Tribolium castaneum: one gene and its partners. The protein of the gene in region 1 binds, or shares a complex with, the protein of each later gene. Links are inferred from orthologs where the notes say so. Each region holds a gene or a part of one and is shown on either strand. Other genes may lie near its edges. The genes, in order: U4/U6.U5 tri-snRNP-associated protein 1, LSm7, Prp6 and U6 snRNA-associated Sm-like protein LSm5.

Region 1 (5,710 bases):
GATTACCGTGCAATCCCTATCCTAATCATGACTGATAATGGTGCTCACGGAAGTGACGTGAAAGGTCACGTCGAGAGCTGGTCATCAACCATTTATTTTTTTAATTAACTATAACTTTCTGTTCAATATTTTCCTTTATTACCGTTTTGTTGGAAAATATGGGAAATTGGTAATTTCTAATTAAAACACGGAACTCACTTTTAATTCATTTCATTTATCGCAAAAATTATTACACCGTTTGTACTCGTAGGGAGCCAGACTTTAAAACTTATTCATAAAACCATTATCATTATCGTACCCGTCCCTTAAAAACGATCTACAAAACAAAAACATTTCGTAACACTTTTCGTTAGGACTTTGTAAATAAAAACTGATAAAAATGAAACAATTTATACAATTTACAATGATGCCCAGTTTTCCTTAATTTAAAATTGCCACTTCTTTTTAGAGTAGCGCTGAATTTTGTTCACACAAAATTATAGTATTTATTTATTCTTAGTCATTTTACTTAACGCCGACTTTTGGAAATAACCGCCGTTTGCTGGCTCTGCTTGTTCCCCGACAAGACCACATACGGCGACTGCGTCTCCTTCTGCTTCGCTTGCAGCATATTCAAAGTCCCTAAGGGCGTATCCGTCGAACTCATCTTCTTCATCAACTGCTCCTGCACGCCCTTCTTTATCCTCTTCTCGATCTTATTTTTCCCCGGCCCTTTCCCGTGGAACTTATGCGAGAGATACCTGAAGGCCTCCTTCGAGTTCAACACGTGCCCATCATCGTCGATATACTCCAACTTAACATTGGGCTTAAACCCATCCTTCTCCTTAAACTCCATAATGGGGCCAGTGTACCTCTCCCGGCGGTTCGCGCGATCGCCCTCATCCCCGTAGGTCTTGTCCTCGATAGAGTAATGCTTGGCTTGCAAATGCGCTAACCGCGAATTCGACGGCCTCTTATTCTGCTCCTTGTCCAGGTACCCCTTGCTCATTGCAAGCTTCAAAGCTGCCCCAAGCCCTGTACTGACATCAGGCTCTTCGTCGAGGATTTGCACCTCTTGTGGGGCAATTTGCGGGCTTTCGTGCGGCTCGTTTGGATCGACTGAATTCCAGCCGGTTTTCTCCTCCTGCTCGACTTCGTCCATTTCGGGCTCGTCTTTCAGATCACGCTCGAAATCGATCAAATCTTCGGTTTCCTCGCGGTTGCCGGACTTGCCGTACGTTGGGATGTCGCCCAAAGTGCGGCAAAACTCCGCCGTGGCGTTCAGAACAATACTCCCCTCCAGGTTTTCCTCACTTTCGCTTTTAACCGGCGTTGATTTAACAATCTCAGCAACGAGGTTCTCCTTCTGTTTGATTTTGCGTGTCTTGTGCAGCGCTTTTTCCAAGAGATCGTCCTTCTCGTCCTCGAGTTTGACGTCCGTGGGGTATTCCATTTCGGGGATGTCGTCAATGGTCAAGTCTTCGAGCTCTTTCTTTGGGCGTCTTGAGCCGACTTCCTCGATGCCTTTGTTGTTAATTTGTTGCTCCAATTCATCAGCGGTCAGTTTTCCCTTAGTTCGGATTTTGCGGACTTTCTTTTTGGGTTTTTTAAATTTGGACAGTTCCTCGTCGTTGTAATATTCCGATGCGAGTTTTAAATCTTTTGTTTCAATCGATTCGATTCTTTTTTTGGCGAGTTTTTCCTTAATTGATTGCACGATTGCTTGTTTACGTTCAACCGCATTGTCGTAACCGATTTTGAAGCTTTCGCGTTTTTCGCCGTCGATTGTTTCGTCGTATTGGGCCAAAAGCGACTTTTCTTTGGGGTTGCCAAACTCGTCGTACTCCTGGTCTTCGTAGGCGTTATACAAAATCTTCTTCTTCTTGTTTATAACGTTCTGAAATTTGATGATAAATAATCATTCACTGTAAATATTTGTAACAAATTACCTTTTTGTATCTCTCGTCCTCAACCATGTTGACATTGACCAGGACATCCTCCTTGTCTTCATCCAAGACGCCCTTGTCTTGCAGCGTCAAGATAACATCCCTTTCCTCAGCAAAGCTATCAACATCATGCTCCACCCTCAGCCCTTTCAAATTCCTCTCAGTGTATCTCTGCTTCCTCTTCTCCTTCTTCTCATTCTCCACAAACTCGCTGACCCCAAACTGCTCATCCAACTCCTCCAACATTTTCGCCCTTTTCTCAGCCTCCTTCTTGGCCAATTCAATCTTGCGGTTCTTATCAACCCACGACTCCACATTATCATCACTATCACTGTCCCCCAGCAGCTTCACCTTGCCCAGCTTATTCTCCAGCTGGCGCTTTTCCCGAATCGTTGTCAATTTGCCCTTCAGCTTCTCCCTCTCGTGCTTATCCGCCCAATTCTCCGCCGGCTTGTGGTAAAACTCGCCCCAATCGTCCTTCTTCTTCCCGTCATCCCGTTTCTTCTCGGACTTGTCCCCCGAACTCACATCGAGCGGCTTCAGGCCGAGCTTCGCCCGCAGTTTGTTCGTTTCCTCAATCGAGAGACTCTCAGCGTTTTGCCCGGAGCCCGAAGGCTCATCGTCCGGAATCACCTCGATCACGTCGGATCCTGGCAAAAAATCATTCAAACGGGAAAGTTGGACGCGGGGTGCTTACCGTCGCTGTCGTAGTCGTGCTTCGCCCTCGCGTCGCGCTTCTTGTCCCTGTGGTGCCTCTTGTGGCGGTGGCGCTTCTCCTTCGGGGGCTCATGCTCGTCGGTGTAGCCGGGGCTGTGGTGGCGCCGCTTACGAGACTCTTTCTCTTTTTCTTTGTATTTTTTGCTACTAGAACCCATCCTTTTTACAAAATTTGAAGGAAATACCTACCGTACACAACGTCAATGCAACGTTTTGACGTGCGCGAAATCCGGATTGGTGGTTTCGCCGTTACGGGATTTGCCGAGTTCAAAAACCTAACCCCACATTTGCCAAGCCAAGATGACCAACTTATTGAAGCAATTGCAGGCGATGTACGAGCTTGCCCTGCACTCGAACATCTCCCGAGTGGTTTGTAGCCCCCTTTTGGGAGTCTGAGCCCCCAACTGTGCTTTTAGTGCGACTTGGCCCTGTCGGCGTCCGAGCAAAAGCCCGACTTTTTGCCCCCTTTGCAGAAGTTCCAGGTGATGTTGCTGTACGCCGATTCGCTGTACGAGACGCAACAGTTCGCCCAAAGCGAGAGTTTGTACCGCCAGGCCTTACAGCTCCGCAAACACCTCTTAAAAACCAAGTCAATGTCTAATAAAATCACGGAGAGTCAGCCCGAACTGGCCAGCGATGTGGAGATCAGGTTCAAGATACACAAGTGCTGCATGGCCCTGAAGCAGGTGAATGGGGCCATCGAGATGCTGCAGTCGATTCAGGCCCGCCTGCGGACCCCCAAAGTCAACATGGCGCTCGGCAACTTGTACAGGGAGGCCGGGATGGAGCGCTCGGCCATAACGTGCTACAAGGAGGTGCTCCGGGAGTGCCCGCTGGCCCTCGAAGCCGTGGAGAACTTGCTCAAGCTGGGGGTGAAAGGGGTCGAAGTCAACGCACTAATGGTGGAGGCAACTTCCGAACTAAACTGGCTAAACCTCTGGCTCAAAGCACAAGCCCAGTTGTACTCGCGCGACTTCGAAAACGCCGCCCAAACGTACAAAAGCATGGACAGCCACGGTCTACTCAAAGACAACACGTCGCTGCTGGTCAACCTGGGCTACTGCTACCACTACATGTGTGAGGACGAGACGGCGATTGCAGTCCTCCAGCGGGCGATTAAACTCGACCAGAACCTAGTCTTTGGTCGCGATTTACTGGCCACGCTTTTGGCGAGCTCGGGGACTTCCGAACACGTTGAGTATTTGGAGGATTTGATCCCGACCTCGGATATGTCGCTGTGGACGAGTGAGCATTGGGTGGTCATTGGCAATCTGATGTTTTCGACGAGACGGCACGAAAAAGCCGTTTATTTCGCACAGCAGGCGCTTTGTGCCTCGCCCAAAAACATAGAGGCGTTGCTGCTGAAAGCCAAGACGCTGGTGGAGCTCAGCAAGTACCAGGATGCCGCCCAGCATTGCACGGAAGCGATCCAGATCTGTCCGTTTCGATACGACTTGCACCAGTGTTTGGTCGAGTGCTATGTGAAGATGAATCGGCTGAGGGAGGCCGACTCCATGGCGCAAAATGCGTGCAAACAGCTCAATTTCAGCCCACATTCGGTTACGGTAAGTGAAAAAATTGTAATACGGTAAAGAGAGAATTGGCTGTTAGACTGTTTTTTTGGGACGAATTATTTTAAAAACGTATCACTTTTTTTTCGTTTGCCTTCATCTGGCAAACTAATGCGCTATCTGAGAGGAATATCGGGATGGGACGTTGTCTTTGCTTTAGGTGTCGAAACGGATTAGGCGCCATTAAGTTGTTTTCTTATTTATTCCTCAAATAACAACAATTACAAAAAATAGTTTCACTGCAGTTGCACGCCTCCGTTTTACTCAAAGACCCGATGACGTCCGGGAAAACGGTGCGAAACCTCCTCGAGAAGGCCGTGAGCCAAGACAAGACGTTTTCCACTAAGGCCGTCTGTATGCTCGTGGAGTTGCTCGAGCAGGAGCAGCAGTACGACCAAGCTCGGCAGCTCCTGCTGAAGCACGTGGAACAGCACCCCACCTCGCGCATCCACCAGATGCTGGGCGACTGCTACGTCAATTTGAACAAGGACAGCGAGGCTTTCCACCACTACAACGTGGCCCTGCGGCTCGACCCGTCCAACCAGAGGGCGACCGAGGGCCTGAGTTGCATCGGACGCAACGTGTCTTTAAGCAAAAGGGAGAGCTACTACACCTGCGTGGGGGAGACGTCGTACACGTCGCCAGGGACGAGCGCCTCCGAGGACGATGTTTTTGTCCAGAACGATACCGAACCCTGGCCTACCAATATGAGTTTCTAGGTGATAACAATTTTTTTTACAATAAAAATATTTAAAGTCACGCGACTTTGTTTTCAACAATCACAGGGTTACATTTCCCTAATTATTTACGTGTTAAAATACAAAGTGTTAGTACTATCACGGGGAAAAGGTTTCATTTCTTTTAGAATCTAGGATACATTTTTGACCCAAACAAACGTCCCTAAGCTAAACACAAGCGGCCGCGGCCAAGCCAAACAATAAGCGCTTGTTCGTTTATAAATTTGTTACAATTAAGACAATTATTGCTAAAATAATCTCAATTTCCCAAAATTCTCTTCGCCTCTCGTTCTATTTTGTTACTTTTTGCATTTTATTAAATACGTAGGTTTCAACCTACGGCACAAACTCGCTCAAAATCACTCAGTTGAGTGGAAATCTCACAAAGGAGCACCGGAAATACTCGAAATCCTCGAGGTTTTTCTTCAACGTGGTGGCACTAAACCTGGAAGTTCTAAAACACAATCAATTTTTTTTATCTCGGGGAAAATATTCACCGTTGCTCGTTGTCAGTAAGCGAAACAAATGCGAATTGGGGGCCCCCAAATCCCCAGTTGACTGCTCAAACTCGTCCCCACCTTCAATCGCAACAAAATGACAAAACTGCTCCCCTCCGCGTTTGTTATATTCTTCGAGGGCGCTGTTCAAAATATCGCTCTCAGACACCTGCGGAAACATTAACATTTTTTTATTACTTGCTATATTATTAAAAAAAAAAAATGAGAGCGCGGACCGCGGACTAAACATAGTGATTCCTGCG
Region 2 (3,788 bases), on another chromosome or scaffold:
ACGGGTGGCTCCTCAACATCGAAAACTCGCTCCAAGACACCGAAATGTTGAAAAAATTCGTTGCCTACTTAGGGGTGCAAACGCACACCCAAAACCCCGACCATTTAATCATCTGGTACGACAGTATCATTGAAACGGGCGAATTGAAATGGCAAAATGAGCTCAACCCCCTTAATAAATTTTTCTTCGATAATTGTGACGGTATTTTCCTCAATTACGTATGGACTGAGGAAAATATCCACAATTCGATTGAATTTGCAAAGCATCGGACTTTGGACGTTTACGTGGGGGTGGATGTCTTCGGTCGCAATACCTTCGGAGGCGGTCAATTCAACTGTTTCAAGGCCGCCCAGATGATAAGGAGACACAACTTATCAATGGCGATTTTCGCGCCAGGCTGGACGCACGAAACGCTGCCCAAAAGTGAAAATCGGCAAAAATTCTTCGAGGATTTTATTAATCGAGACTCGGCTTTTTGGAACAGTCTGTGGCCCTATTTATACACGCATCCCATTACGAGGTTCTTCAAGACCAGTTTTTTCACTGGAGTTAACCAGGTATTTAACTAATTAATTAGTTATAACGCGCCCAAGTTCGTATTACGAAAAATAGTTCGCCCTTTCTCTCTCACTCTTTCCTATCGGAACTCCTATAGCTCTGTCCTTGTCTTATGTAAATAGCGGGTTATAACTTTTTAAGTAAAATTATAATAACTTAATAAAAACAAATGCATTAATTTTAAGGACGTCTACGACCTGTTCACGCAACACCCGCAACTCTCAAAAATCAAGCACCCAAAGTCACTAGAATGGGTCCCCAACCACCACGAAATACCAACACTGAACAATAAGTGCAACTGTTTACAGTGTGCTTTCACCAGTACTGGTGTTAGGTGTTTAATTACTAAAGAATTTTTGAATAGTTCAATATGTTACGTCCATCGTATTTTCACCTGTGATATTTTCCTATCTGGAGTTATCACAATTTACGTTTTGACGAAACTAGTACGCGCACAAGCCGCTCAATTAAGTTTAAATCTCCTCACTTCGGATAAAAACGGTACAATTAGAAAAATTAAATGCAATAGCACCGTCAAAGAACACCTAATTAAAAACTGTACGTTAATGGAAATCAATCCTTCGATAAACCCCTCACTTGTTAATCACGTCGTTAGAAGTAACGACGATTTGTTTCTACACGAAAATTTAACAATTGCGTAAGTCGGTCACACGTTTGGTAGGAAAAAAAAACTAATTAACTTTTTCAGTGTTTATCAGTTTGATTGTTCGCCGTGTACGTTATTGGAAATTGGATGTACGTTAGAGGAGGGAAAAGCGATTTATTTGTGCGGTCTTGGAGTCGAAGAGCACGTTCTAGTACTCTGACACAACTTTCGTGACCAACAGTACAAACAATTTTCTGCCATACTGTACATTTTGCCAGGGCTTGAAGCCCAAATAGTTAACATGTATTAATGCTTTAGTAACGCCCCAATGTGTAAATAACTTTTTTTGAATAAATGATAACCGAGAATTTTGCATTTTTCATTTGAAACTTTGTACCTCCACTGCGCAAGCAGTCCTCTACAAATTGTGTCCCAAAATTGCGTCAATTTTTACGTAATTCTTTAGAAGCTAAGAAAATTAATTACGAAATTGCTGGACTTTACAAACCGATAATTATTTTTTTTTATTTCAAAATTAATCGGAAGGTTCCGTGCGCATAGGAGACCATATGCACGCGTCACCTCCAAACGTATTCTAGGTTAGAATTTCAAAATCGGCAAAATTCCACAAATAAAGCCGAACAATGGCATCGTCAGGTGACAAATCAAAAGTACGTACCCCAAACTGCCCCATTTCGCCCCCTCAACCCCCATTTTTACCGTAGAATCAGAGCGGTGACCAAAAAGAGAAGAAACGTAAAGAGTCGATTCTAGACCTCTCTAAATACCTTGAAAAGACAATTAGGGTGAAATTTGCGGGCGGCCGAGAAGCTAGTGGTATTTTAAAAGGCTATGACCCCCTTTTGAACCTCGTCTTAGACAACACAATCGAATACTTGAGAGATCCAGACGACCCTTATAAATTAACAGAAGACACGAGGGCCTTGGGTTTGGTGGTCTGTAGGGGCACAAGTGTCGTGCTCATATGCCCCATGGACGGCATGGAGTCCATACAGAACCCCTTTATATCCCAAGACTAAGTTTTGTACCATAAAAATACCTCTAATTTGTAAGACGTTTTTTTGAATAAAACCGGTAAAAAATTAATAAAACTGTTTTATTGCACAAACTAGCTCAATAAATTAATTAGAAGTTTAGTTATAATGAGCGTAAGCAACCACCAATGCTTATAACCAAAAGTAATTAAAGCGTACACACAAAAAACGTGTTAATTACGCTTGAGATTAACGAATAATTGCCCCAAATAATAAATCTGGGTTGATTCAGTTGATTGCAAAAATGGGTTTTTCTGTCCAAAACTACGGTTGAGTACAGTCGCCCACACATTTAATGGCCCTGTTGCGCACCGAGCATGCGCAAAAACGCTCTGACCGACTCGGATGACTCACCGCCGCCATTTTCCTTTCAAAAAAGTGACATTGGTGACAGTTGAGTGCAAAAGTGCTTTAAAAATGCCGGTCAGGGTGGATATTACGCCTCCCCCGCCGGCCAATTCAAAACAGCCGGGGGTAACAAAGTCCCTCTTATACAACGGCTCCAAATTTCAAGGTTTCCAGAAATCGAAAGGCAATTCGTACGAAGTGGAAGTGGTTTTACAGGTTAGAAGTTGCAAATAATCGCACCATTGCCCCCCTTAACCAAAATTTCGATGACTTTGTACCGTTCGAACCCTTGTAGGACGTGTGACGTCCCTTTTGCTCACCGCTTATTTAAAGAAAACTAAAAATATCAACATATGCTAATGCAATCCGAAATGGCGGGAAATTTAAATTTCGCTCGTTTTTCCAGCACGTCGACGAGGAAAACTCCTATTTGTGTGGCTATTTGCAAATTAACGGGCTCACCGATGAGTATCCCACCTTGACTACGTTTTTCGACGGCGAAATTATCAGCCAAAAGTACCCGTTTTTGACCAGAAAGTGGGACGCCGACGAGGACGTGGACAAAAAACACTGGGTGAGCACCCAAATCTTTGTTTTTAGCACAATTTCAAAAATTACAAGTAGCCAAGCATCGCAGCTCACTATCTTATAATTATTATTTTCACAATCTAGAAGGCGCCAACCCAAATGTCAACTGTTAATGGACAGTCACAGCTTACTATCTTAATATATTTTTTTTTGTATAATTATTTTCTTAACATATCTCTTGTTGCAGAGCAAATTCTCGTCGTTTTCCCAATACGCCAAAACGTTCAATTCGGACAATTTCGATTATAAGGCGCTCGGCGACACCGACTATGTTTTTATGCGGTGGAAGGAGCATTTTCTTGTTCCTGACCATACGATTAAAGACATAAGTGGGGCCTCGTTTGCCGGTTTCTATTACATTTGTTTTCAAAAATCTAAAGCCACAATTGAAGGTTACTACTACCACAGAAGCAGTGAATGGTTTCAGTCGTTAAATTTAACACATGTGCCTGAAAATAGTATACAAATTTATGAATTTAGGTGAATTGGTTGAGTGAAAAACTTGGCTTATTTCAGTACTGCATGTCCTCGTTCTCTCTCTCTCTCTAGCGAAGTTGATTTTCACAGTATTTTTCAATAAGTGTACTAGTGAGCAGTATTTATTCATTATTTTTGTGTACATAATTATGGGT
Region 3 (5,739 bases), on another chromosome or scaffold:
AGTTATGTTCAAGAGCGATCACGTGTAGATAACAACATTTTTTCTATAGCAGGAATTCAAGTTTAAGAGAAAAAAAATTACTGTTAACCCTAATTGGATTTTTTTATTCACTTTATATTTTTTTAAATTCATTTTATCGTCCCTTGCGGTTAAAGTGTTATATTAACTAGTTGATAAAAAAATAGCATAACATCTGCTGAAAAGATTAAGTTCAAAAGAGACAAGTGGACTTATATTTCACGAGTATATAGAGTCTTTATCGTTGTATATAACACATTTTTTTCTACAGCAGGATTTCAAGTTTAAGAAAAAAAAATTGTTAAAAGCTGGAATTTGTTTTTTATTTTTTTCATTTTTCTTTTATCTACTCAAAAGAGTAGATAAAGAAATAGTTCAACATCTGCTATTGAAAAATTGTTATTTATTATATATACAAGTCACTAAAGAGATTGTTTATCTATGAATTGAAAAGTTAAGTTCAAAAGAGATGAAGTCACAAGTGGACTTACATTTTACGAATAGATAACGAATTTTTATTGTCGTGTAAAACACATTTTTTCTAAAGTTTAAATAAATAAAAAAAATGTTAACCCTTTAAATTAATGTGTTGTAATTTGTAAATTTCGTTGAATAAAGTAAATTTAACCTTGCGGTTAAAGTGCTACTTTAAATACTTAAAAGAAATAGTTTAACATGTGCTATAAAAAAGAAACTTAAAGGCTGAGCTGTATATTTTTTTGTTAAAAATATTATGCAACCAAGATTACACATGTGCACACCAGAAAAAATATTATTGTACTCATGGTTATTTCCTTAATTTTTTTTTAATTAACTTACTCGTATTCAACGTAATGCTCGGCGATTTGTGGATCATAAATCATCCTCGCAGTTTTCAATTTCTCCTCCAATTTTCGGATAAACTCGTGCCCCAGGATGGGTTTTCCCCCGACTTCAGAATAATGATTTCCATAGAAATTAAAACCGGTCAAAATTTTGCCCCTTTTGGACTCTTGCGAAGACACGGTTTTAATGCAGTCTTCGACCCAGGTCAAGGGGGCATTGGGGCCGGGGCGCCTCGGGTTGGAATAATCATAAGTCATGAGGGAAAATGCAGTCACATGGTCATATAATGCGTTGAAATGATCCTCCGAGAAGGGCAAATTGCGGCCCCGTTTCGGGGGAATTACCAGGATTGTGTCTAAGGATTCTAAGGCCAGGGAGTCCCCTAAGAATTTTTTAAAATGAAAAACAGTAAAATAAGGGGGCTGGTGGGGCACCTATGGTTCTCACAAGGTTGATCAAGGGGTCGTAATTCATGTCCATCTGGAGTTGGGGCCAGATCTCGATCACGTAACCGTCGAAATTGTACGATTTCGCGGTTGTTATCAGTGTTTTAATTAACGATTTCAGCTCTTTAGGGTCGAAGAGTGAGTTCATTTGGTTCTCATTCAAACCACTAAAGAGAATTCTAGGGACAACTGAATTAATTATTAATTAATGTTTTTCCAGACTTGAAGAAAGAATACTTTTAAGTTTCCTCTCCCGTCCTGCATTTTTCACGTGTATTATCCACTTCTTGTCAATATCGTGTGTTCCACTGAAGTCAAACCGGTTGTTTGATTTTTTGATTTCCAACCAAACGGGGCTAATGTGCGTAAACTTGTTCCCGAAAATTTTGGCAATGTCGTACCCCTCATTGTTCCACTAAAACTGTCTTTAAAAAACCTGACCGGCAGCTTGGAACCTACAGGAGTCACGTAGCCCAGCACAAGCCCATCAAACTGATAATTGTCAATTTCCCTGAAATACGCTAGATAATTCTGCAAAACCTCCCTCGGAGTGGCCGCTTCCGTCACCAAATTCCGGTCAAAGACGGTAATGTTTTGGGGCCCCGTTTTGATGTGCACAAAGAACTTATCGTCGCGCTTATCCTTGCGCGACTTCGGCGTCAACGTCCCGTGAACAGCTGATAACAACGTGACAAGAATGAGAAACCGTGAAAACATTTCAAAAATTTGGAATTTCGAAAAATGAGTGAGGTTATGTGTGAATGTTTGACATTTGTCGTCTGTCAAAACGTTGCTAGTCGTTCGGTTTAAGGTTAGACTTGGTGTTTGTTTGGGGCTAGTTATGGCAGCCCCACCGCAGGCGTTAGTCAACCGAAACAAGAAGCACTTCCTGGGGGTCCCCGCGCCCTTGGGTTACGTCGCTGGGGTTGGTCGAGGGTGCGTTAGGGGGTTGTTTTAACATGTTTGTGATTGTGGTGTTTCAGGGCTACGGGCTTCACCACACGGTCTGATATCGGGCCAGCGAGGGACGCCAACGACGTTTCGTAAGTGGGGTTAGTGGGGTTGTGTGTGGTTTAATTCGTGGTTTTAGGGATGATAGGCATGCCCCACCGGCGGCAAAACGCACTAAAAAGAAAGATGAAGAGGAGGAGAAAGAGGTTTGTTGACGAAAGTGTGTGTGTTTGTTGACTGTGTTATTGTAGGAAGAAGAAGATTTGAATGATTCGAATTATGATGAGTTTAGCGGTTATGGGGGGTCACTTTTTTCCAAAGATCCCTACGATAAGGATGATGCTGAGGCTGACGCGATTTACGAAGCGATTGATAAGAGAATGGACGAGAAGCGAAAGGAGTACAGGGAGAAGAGGTTGAGGGAGGAATTGGAGAAATATCGACAAGAAAGGTAATTTAATCAGAAATTTAATTGAACTTGCTATCTTCTGCTACAAAACAAGCTGATACAATATGTTAATACCACCACGTATTCCACATTTCATTGAAATGGACAATAACAATAAAATGTACTTAACTTTACGGCATCTGCTTCTGCTATAATTTATAGGAAGAATTTTTGTTCAGCTGAACATTTTTTTTAAAATTTTTGTTCTTAAATTAAATGTTATTTTTTATGCCGTTTATCGTCGACAAGATGTTCAAACGAACAATTTTCCAATTTTACAAATATATTTTAATAAATTTATAATTACTTATAAAAGAATCTATACTATGAAATTAGAAATAAAATCAGTACAATGTAATATAATATTTTACTGTGTTCTAAAATGTAGTACTCAAACTATTACTTTTCAATACTTCACTTATTCAATACCTCCTTTATTGACAATAAATGGAAAAAATAAATGCACTTACCTTTATGACATCTTCTGCTAAAAAAAAATAAAAAACAAAAATTACTGTAACATTTATTTGTTTTTTTCCTTCGGAAGCGAATAGTTATGGAATTAAAGAAATGCACTTACCTTTATGGCATCTTTTTCTGTTACATTTTGTTGCAAGATATTAAAAATAAATAAAAAACAAAAATTAGTACAATTATTTGTTTTTTTTTCTTCGGAAGCGGTCGCTTCTGAATCGTTATGGAATTAAAGTAAATAATATAATTATAAAATCTTTTCATTTTTACGAACTCACGTAACTTAGTACATTCTAAGGCAGTTAACTTCTGTACAAAGGAACCCCCAGTATAACGTTATTCGGTTTGGAAAATATTACAAGACTGCAGGATATTAATAATATCGCATAATTAACATCTTAAAAAAAATACACTAGCGCTTTTCTTCTGCTAGTTTGTAGCAAAACATTAAAAATAGATTAAAAAACATAATTAGTGCAAGATGTTAATAAATAATAATACACACCACATAACCAACATCTAATTGAAGACGAAAATACTGAAATAAAAAACGATATATTTACCGGTAGAACAATGTGCTGTTAAATTAGTTGTTGAAAACATTACAGATTTATTGCAATTTTTGTAAAAATATTGCAAATTATTGCAGACTAAGACTTTTACCGGATTATTTTTTTGCTTTCTTCCTGGAAAGCCATTAAAGTGGTACACACTAACCGCGATCAAAACGCACTAGCCAGAGAATTTTAAACTTTAAAATCGTTAAATTCTTATTTTATTGTGAGACGTCCGTTTGTGACAACAGCGAGTGACCAACTGATTAAATTAAACTGTACTACGATAATTGGGCAAGAATATGGATAAAACGTCACCATTAAAAAGTATAATCTGTGGTGTAACTACTCAATAATCATTAGGTGGAAAACAAAGAGGTCATGTTTTTTTTTCGAGGCACATATCTGAAAAATACAAGGGGACGTGAATTTTATGGTCCAATCACTGAAACTTTTGAAACTTTCTTGAGTAAATTTTAAGGACATCTTTAACTATTTGTAACTTTGTTGTTCTAAAAGATACACAGTTACAACAAAGCCACTTTTTTAGTGAGAATTTAATAATATAGACACCAATGTCTTTTCAGTTATTTGTTTAAATTTAATAAATAAGACAAGATTGTTTTATGCTTTGTGGAAATGTTCAGCTAGCCTTAAATATTTTTGTGTTTTCATTCCAGATTAAGAATGTCCTAGAATATTTGGTAGCTTGTTCGATAATGTTTAGTACAGGAATGTGCGTACAAAAACTAAACATGTCGGTAATACACTTATTTGTCCTAAGTGCAAAAATAAATATTTCTAGTTGAGTAAAAAAGGAAATCAATAGCCTAACAAATGGAAAATTAATTACACAAAAATATACTTTTAGCAGAGACTTATTTTGTTTACACAGACTACAATTCAACCTATTTAATTCAATGATATTTTTATAGCACCATAAATATTGGAACTAAATTTTTGTGAAAAAATTCCCATGGGAAAATTAGAGATTTTTCCCTGAGACAACAAAATCGTTATTCTCAGAAATTCTTGTGGGAAATTTTTCACATGGTGACTGACCAAAATTATAAATTTTGACAGCTAACTGCCTCTTTAATGCAATTTTTATTCTTAAGTTTTTTAAATCGGTAAATTACTATTCCTTTTTTGTAATTTTATGATTTGTGTTGTTTTTATGTTGTTGTAATATCTTACACAACGACGAATTTTGGATACATTTCAAACTTTTCCTGCACTAATTTTTCTCGAAAAGGCCGAAATTTCCGCAAAGCATTTTCATGACAAGTTCTATTTTGAGATTAAAATTGGTCGTAAATGATCTATTGCTTCTTAGAATATTTTTTTTTTGGAGTTTTTTTAATACTTATCAACAGATTTTGTGAATTTTTACAAAATGTAGCAGAATGAAAAAGGTATCTAACGGTCTGACATTTGAATTAATAATTAAATTTCTCTATACATTTTTTTCTTGGCATTTCTCACATACACTGTACACTGTAAAAACTTGAAGAGACACGTCAACAATTCTATGTTTTTTATGGCATACCGGAAACTATCGACTGGACTCTTGTAGAAATTTTTACTTTTTTTATTAGCCAGTATCAATGAATTGTACGAATTCATAAAGATTTTTGCTCCCAAAGCAAATATTTTCCAATGGGCCTCGGGCATAGCAAATTTTGCTCCTGCTAGACGCTTGTAGAACTACTCTTTGATTAATTTTTTTTGATAGGACTGAAATTAACAGTGAATTATGATATTCATCCCAAAATAAAAAAAAATCTGTTCTGATACGACAGTTTTAAAATTAAACCTAAAACCATCCTTGGATTATATAAAATAATTTTATGTTAAGCTGGATTCATTTTTTTCTAAGTGGATTGCTGATAACTTAACAAAAAGATGAAAAAAATTTTGTGAACTTCCACACAGTTGTAGCTATTAAAGATGTTAAAAATTATAAAAGGAACATGTTTCGTTGGTAACTATCATTTTCAGACGTGTTTACATTGAAAAAGAG
Region 4 (4,041 bases), on another chromosome or scaffold:
AAAATACGTTTATTTGTTAATTTACGTGAATTTTTGCCCAAAACACCATTTGAGCATCGGTTATTTTATGAATGACATAAGGAGTAATAGTTTTTCTGTGCAGCGACTATAATAATTAGTCACAAAAAATCACATGCACAGAGAATATTTAATAGCAAACGCTGAATTTTGTGTAGTAATTAGTTTATATTTTAGACTCACCTTGAGGAAGTCACGAGAAGCTTATCATGTAAAAATTTGAAAGTATTTTGGCGCTTTGTTCTTTGAATTTAGAATACAATAAAGCATTAAGCGTATTTTTTGTATAAACATATCATGGCGTTTTTATACGCGATGGTCCGTTAAGTCCATCCTATTATGCGTTCTACAGTTATTGTCAAAGTTATTACTTTCACCACTCCTGCTTTTCATGCTCATGATATGCGTTCTGGCATCGGTAATAATGCACAATGCTGAAATCGATACATCAAAATTATTCAAATTTTATTCATAGTTCTACATCAGTGTTGATATTCCCCACTTATAGATTTATGTTCCGCGTTGATATTTAGGTAAACAACGTCATGATTTATAAACACTACTGCTTAGCAAAGTGTCTAAGTTCCTATGTTTGGTGTTGGAAGTAATCATTACTTTGTACACTTTTTGTGCTTAAAATCAAAACAATTTGCGTTTGACATGAGTAAATAACTTGTCTTTTATCTAAAAATGCCCATTTCAACGGCATATCCTGTCGTTTGCATGTCTTTTGGTTGCTTTCCTCCTGTGTACCTGTAATATGCTGAAAGTAAAAATGTGGAAATCCACTTGACATTTTCTTAATAGCTTTCAGGGAAATGGAGATGAGTTTACTTTCTTTCGCCACAAATATTGGAATACATTAGAACTAACGTGAACTTTATAAAAATCTGTGGAAACAAACACTTTGTGTGAGGAACGTTGGGAAAAATAGAATATGATTAATACAAATTCGTTCAGGAATTTCCTGGCCACATTCCTTGTTAGCGGTATATCCAAAGAATGTTTATTATTCCCATAGGTATATCGGTCGTGTCTAATCACAATTTCATTATAATAATCCACATAATGATAATGTCAACCACAGTGGTCAAGTTATCATAATAGAATATTGTTTGCTGCAAGTAGCATTTTAATGTGTTTATTTAAACAGCATGGACAGGGCAACTGAACTCTTCCAAGATAACTGTAACACGAATATAAATAAAAGAAAAACTCCTGAGAAATAAAAATAGCTAAGCATTCACATTCTGCTACAATTACCATTTATTCCCCGATATAAATTATACGCTCTCGAGCTGTCGTGTTATAAAAATAGAGCGTTATAAATCATATTAAAGAGGAATAAATCAATGTGTAGGGGTATAAAGCTCTTAGAGAACGTAAATATAGGCTAAACCAAAATAACACCATTGTTTCAATTAACTGGAGTATACTGACCTTTTATTACAAATTGATGATTTTAAATTCCAAAATTTACTCCACGAACATTATTGTCACGATTTTAGACACAAGTTCACTTAAAAATACGATTATTTATTACAAAAAACACAAAACCTACAACTACAACACACTCAACTCCCACCTCGGTCGGCATTTGACGAAAACGACAAACGACTGAAATACCGAAGAAAGCCGCAAAGCGCATGACCTGTTACACTGCAAGAGCTCCAAGCTCGCACATACGCGCTCCAAAAGAAATAAAAAATAAAAACAATTCATGCATTCCACGCCGTAAAAATGTAACCATAAGGCGGTAAAGTCTTAACAAACGTGTGCCACTACTTTTTGTAATTGTCTTAAGCCGTATTTTGATCGTTTATTAAATTGTTCGGTTCCGTAACGTAAGTCCTAGCTTGAGCTTTTTGCTGTAGTTGCGACACTAGCGCCATTAAGCTCCTGTCAAAATCCTTTTTACTGTCAAATTGATTACTTTTTGCTGTTTGTAAATGTAAACAGTTGTTTCAAATATTTATTGCTAATTTAAGAATTTATAATTATTTGAACGTATTATTAAACGGTCAGAATGACTTCCATGCCTGTGTCTTCTTCCACCTTGCTTCCGTTAGGTGAGTAAAGCAAAAAAACGTAACGTGTTTTTTTGGTTATCTGCCGGTGTTTGAGCATTCAATAATAATCATTAATTTATTAACGTTGTTTTTGCTATTGTAGAACTTGTGGATAAGTGTATAGGGTCAAGGATCCATATTATTATGAAAAATGATAAGGAAATCGTGGGGACGTTATTAGGCTTTGATGATTTTGTCAATATGTTACTGGAGGATGTAACGGAATATGAAACAACGCCTGAAGGAAGGAGAATTACTAAATTGGACCAAATTCTGCTTAATGGGAACAATATAACAATGGTACTTTATTTTGTGCTTCGTTTTTATGTTTAATATGCCATACTGTATCTAATTAATTCTTGAAACTAATTCAAAATTTTAGCTTGTTCCAGGTGGAGAGATGCCAGAGTAAGTCATTTGAATAAAGTATAAAATAAGGGCATTTTTGTGTTTGTTTAATACCCTTTTTTGTATCATAAAAAGCTCTTATTTTTGATGAAAACAACACTGTACATTTAAGGAGAGATGTGTTTGTGTCAAATTTGTCCTAACTGGGCCTTTTAACACAAAAAAATAAGTTGTTCAGAACATTACTTTGTAATCGCGGGTTAGGCAACCACCTTATCTTGTTGTATAATGTGTTGCCAACTACTCCAGGCCTTTACAATGAAAAAAGGAATGGAACGACGTTAGAAAATAACTAAAAGTCGTAAAAACGGTTCGTTCCAGTGAATTTTGCGGCTCATTTTACCATATATCAGCTTTTTACGCAATTTAGAACCCACTGGAGTTGCTAAAAGTCCATATGTTCGATTTTTTTTATCCAATTTTTTGTCTCGATTTCCGGTACCCGGAACATTTATATAGGTTTGGACCAAAATAGTTCCATAATTTGAAGAGAGCCGGCCAGCAGCATTTTTTTTTCACTAAAAAAAGTCGTAACTCAAAAAAGTCGTAAAGCAAAATGGTTTGTTCCAGCGCATTCTACGAATCACTAAACTAAGGTGGGGGTGAAATAAAACACCGTTGTACTGTTATTCATTTATAGAAATAGAATAGACATTTTTAATCACAGTTAGAATACTATTCAAGTTTAAGTTTCTGATTAAACTACTCTACAGAATTTTGAAACTTTGTTAAGTTTAATCTCAGAAAATACTGTATTCAGGGTTTGCATTAAACATCTCTTATAGTCAACGAATCGTAAACTCATTATTCATCAACCACAATTTGTAATATCTATTTTGATTTAAAAAGGTTGACTGCACGATACATAAATTATGCCTATTATTCCGAAATATGGATAAACATAATCCCTTGTGCACTAATCCCCGTTAAAGTCTGTTGAAATTAAAGCCGACTGTATCATGTAGTCACCCTGAGTGTAATTCCTCATTTGTACAATTTTCAACTAACGTAGAAGCTAATTTCGATGTAACTAATGAATATAATAAGTACTACAAAGGCAACTAATTTCTTAAACCGCACCTTAGTGAGCCATGTTCCAATCACAGTCGTCTAGTAATACCTAGTTAACCTTTACACAAACTAACTCTATCAGGAAAAACTTGGAAAAACACCACGACACACTCCGTGGTTCATTTATCCTAGTTGGCTAATTTTGTACCTATTCTTACAATTTTGTATCTTTAATTTTACTTCTCCCGGGAAGTTTGGAACCAGAACATACAAACCTTGTATGAACTACTACCAAATTTACCCAACGTAACAAGAAAATTGTGTTAAAAATGTCTACGTAACAAAACAAACCATAACAAAACAAGCACTTATCGTGCAACAAATTCACAATTCAATAAATACGATATAATGGATATTGAAATGACGAATGTTCCACTTCATTAAACGATATGGGCACAAGTACTAATACTGTTTTATAATAATTTTAAGATATAGAAATCGATATTTACGTATCCACCACTATACATAATTAAAT

The links.
Region 2: U4/U6.U5 tri-snRNP-associated protein 1 (region 1) and LSm7 share a complex: the UniProt entries of both Homo sapiens proteins name them as parts of the U4/U6-U5 tri-snRNP complex. The link is inferred for Tribolium castaneum from reciprocal best matches to the Homo sapiens genes SART1 and LSM7.
Region 3: U4/U6.U5 tri-snRNP-associated protein 1 (region 1) and Prp6 share a complex: the UniProt entries of both Homo sapiens proteins name them as parts of the U4/U6-U5 tri-snRNP complex. The link is inferred for Tribolium castaneum from reciprocal best matches to the Homo sapiens genes SART1 and PRPF6.
Region 4: U4/U6.U5 tri-snRNP-associated protein 1 (region 1) and U6 snRNA-associated Sm-like protein LSm5 share a complex: the UniProt entries of both Homo sapiens proteins name them as parts of the U4/U6-U5 tri-snRNP complex. The link is inferred for Tribolium castaneum from reciprocal best matches to the Homo sapiens genes SART1 and LSM5.

Annotation. Positions count from the first base shown.
Region 1 is NC_087395.1:24,228,055-24,233,764, reverse strand, and holds U4/U6.U5 tri-snRNP-associated protein 1, read right to left. Parts: upstream 2,801-5,710; coding exon 2,623-2,800; intron 2,576-2,622; coding exon 1,929-2,575; intron 1,877-1,928; coding exon 509-1,876; 3' UTR 195-508; downstream 1-194. Other genes in the region: APC7 (anaphase-promoting complex subunit 7), read left to right, coding at 2,943-3,011, 3,059-4,207, 4,459-4,932; PR domain zinc finger protein 10, read right to left, coding at 5,376-5,404, 5,448-5,616. UniProt on the Homo sapiens protein: Plays a role in mRNA splicing as a component of the U4/U6-U5 tri-snRNP, one of the building blocks of the spliceosome. May also bind to DNA.
Region 2 is NC_087399.1:1,124,668-1,128,455, reverse strand, and holds LSm7 (U6 snRNA-associated Sm-like protein LSm7), read left to right. Parts: upstream 1-1,676; 5' UTR 1,677-1,809; coding exon 1,810-1,836; intron 1,837-1,890; coding exon 1,891-2,205; 3' UTR 2,206-2,277; downstream 2,278-3,788. Other genes in the region: ENGase (cytosolic endo-beta-N-acetylglucosaminidase), read left to right, coding at 1-557, 744-1,216, 1,268-1,385; glucose-induced degradation protein 4 homolog, read left to right, coding at 2,638-2,784, 2,975-3,142, 3,344-3,640. UniProt on the Homo sapiens protein: Plays a role in pre-mRNA splicing as component of the U4/U6-U5 tri-snRNP complex that is involved in spliceosome assembly, and as component of the precatalytic spliceosome (spliceosome B complex).
Region 3 is NC_087399.1:6,874,891-6,880,629, forward strand, and holds the start of Prp6 (pre-mRNA-processing factor 6), read left to right. Parts: upstream 1-2,090; 5' UTR 2,091-2,130; coding exon 2,131-2,225; intron 2,226-2,272; coding exon 2,273-2,332; intron 2,333-2,379; coding exon 2,380-2,446; intron 2,447-2,491; coding exon 2,492-2,691; intron 2,692-5,739. Other genes in the region: chitinase domain-containing protein 1, read right to left, coding at 838-1,225, 1,278-1,478, 1,527-1,704, 1,749-2,006. UniProt on the Homo sapiens protein: Involved in pre-mRNA splicing as component of the U4/U6-U5 tri-snRNP complex, one of the building blocks of the spliceosome.
Region 4 is NC_087394.1:33,639,758-33,643,798, reverse strand, and holds U6 snRNA-associated Sm-like protein LSm5, read left to right. Parts: upstream 1-1,907; 5' UTR 1,908-2,044; coding exon 2,045-2,087; intron 2,088-2,190; coding exon 2,191-2,387; intron 2,388-2,469; coding exon 2,470-2,499; 3' UTR 2,500-2,529; downstream 2,530-4,041. UniProt on the Homo sapiens protein: Plays a role in pre-mRNA splicing as component of the U4/U6-U5 tri-snRNP complex that is involved in spliceosome assembly, and as component of the precatalytic spliceosome (spliceosome B complex).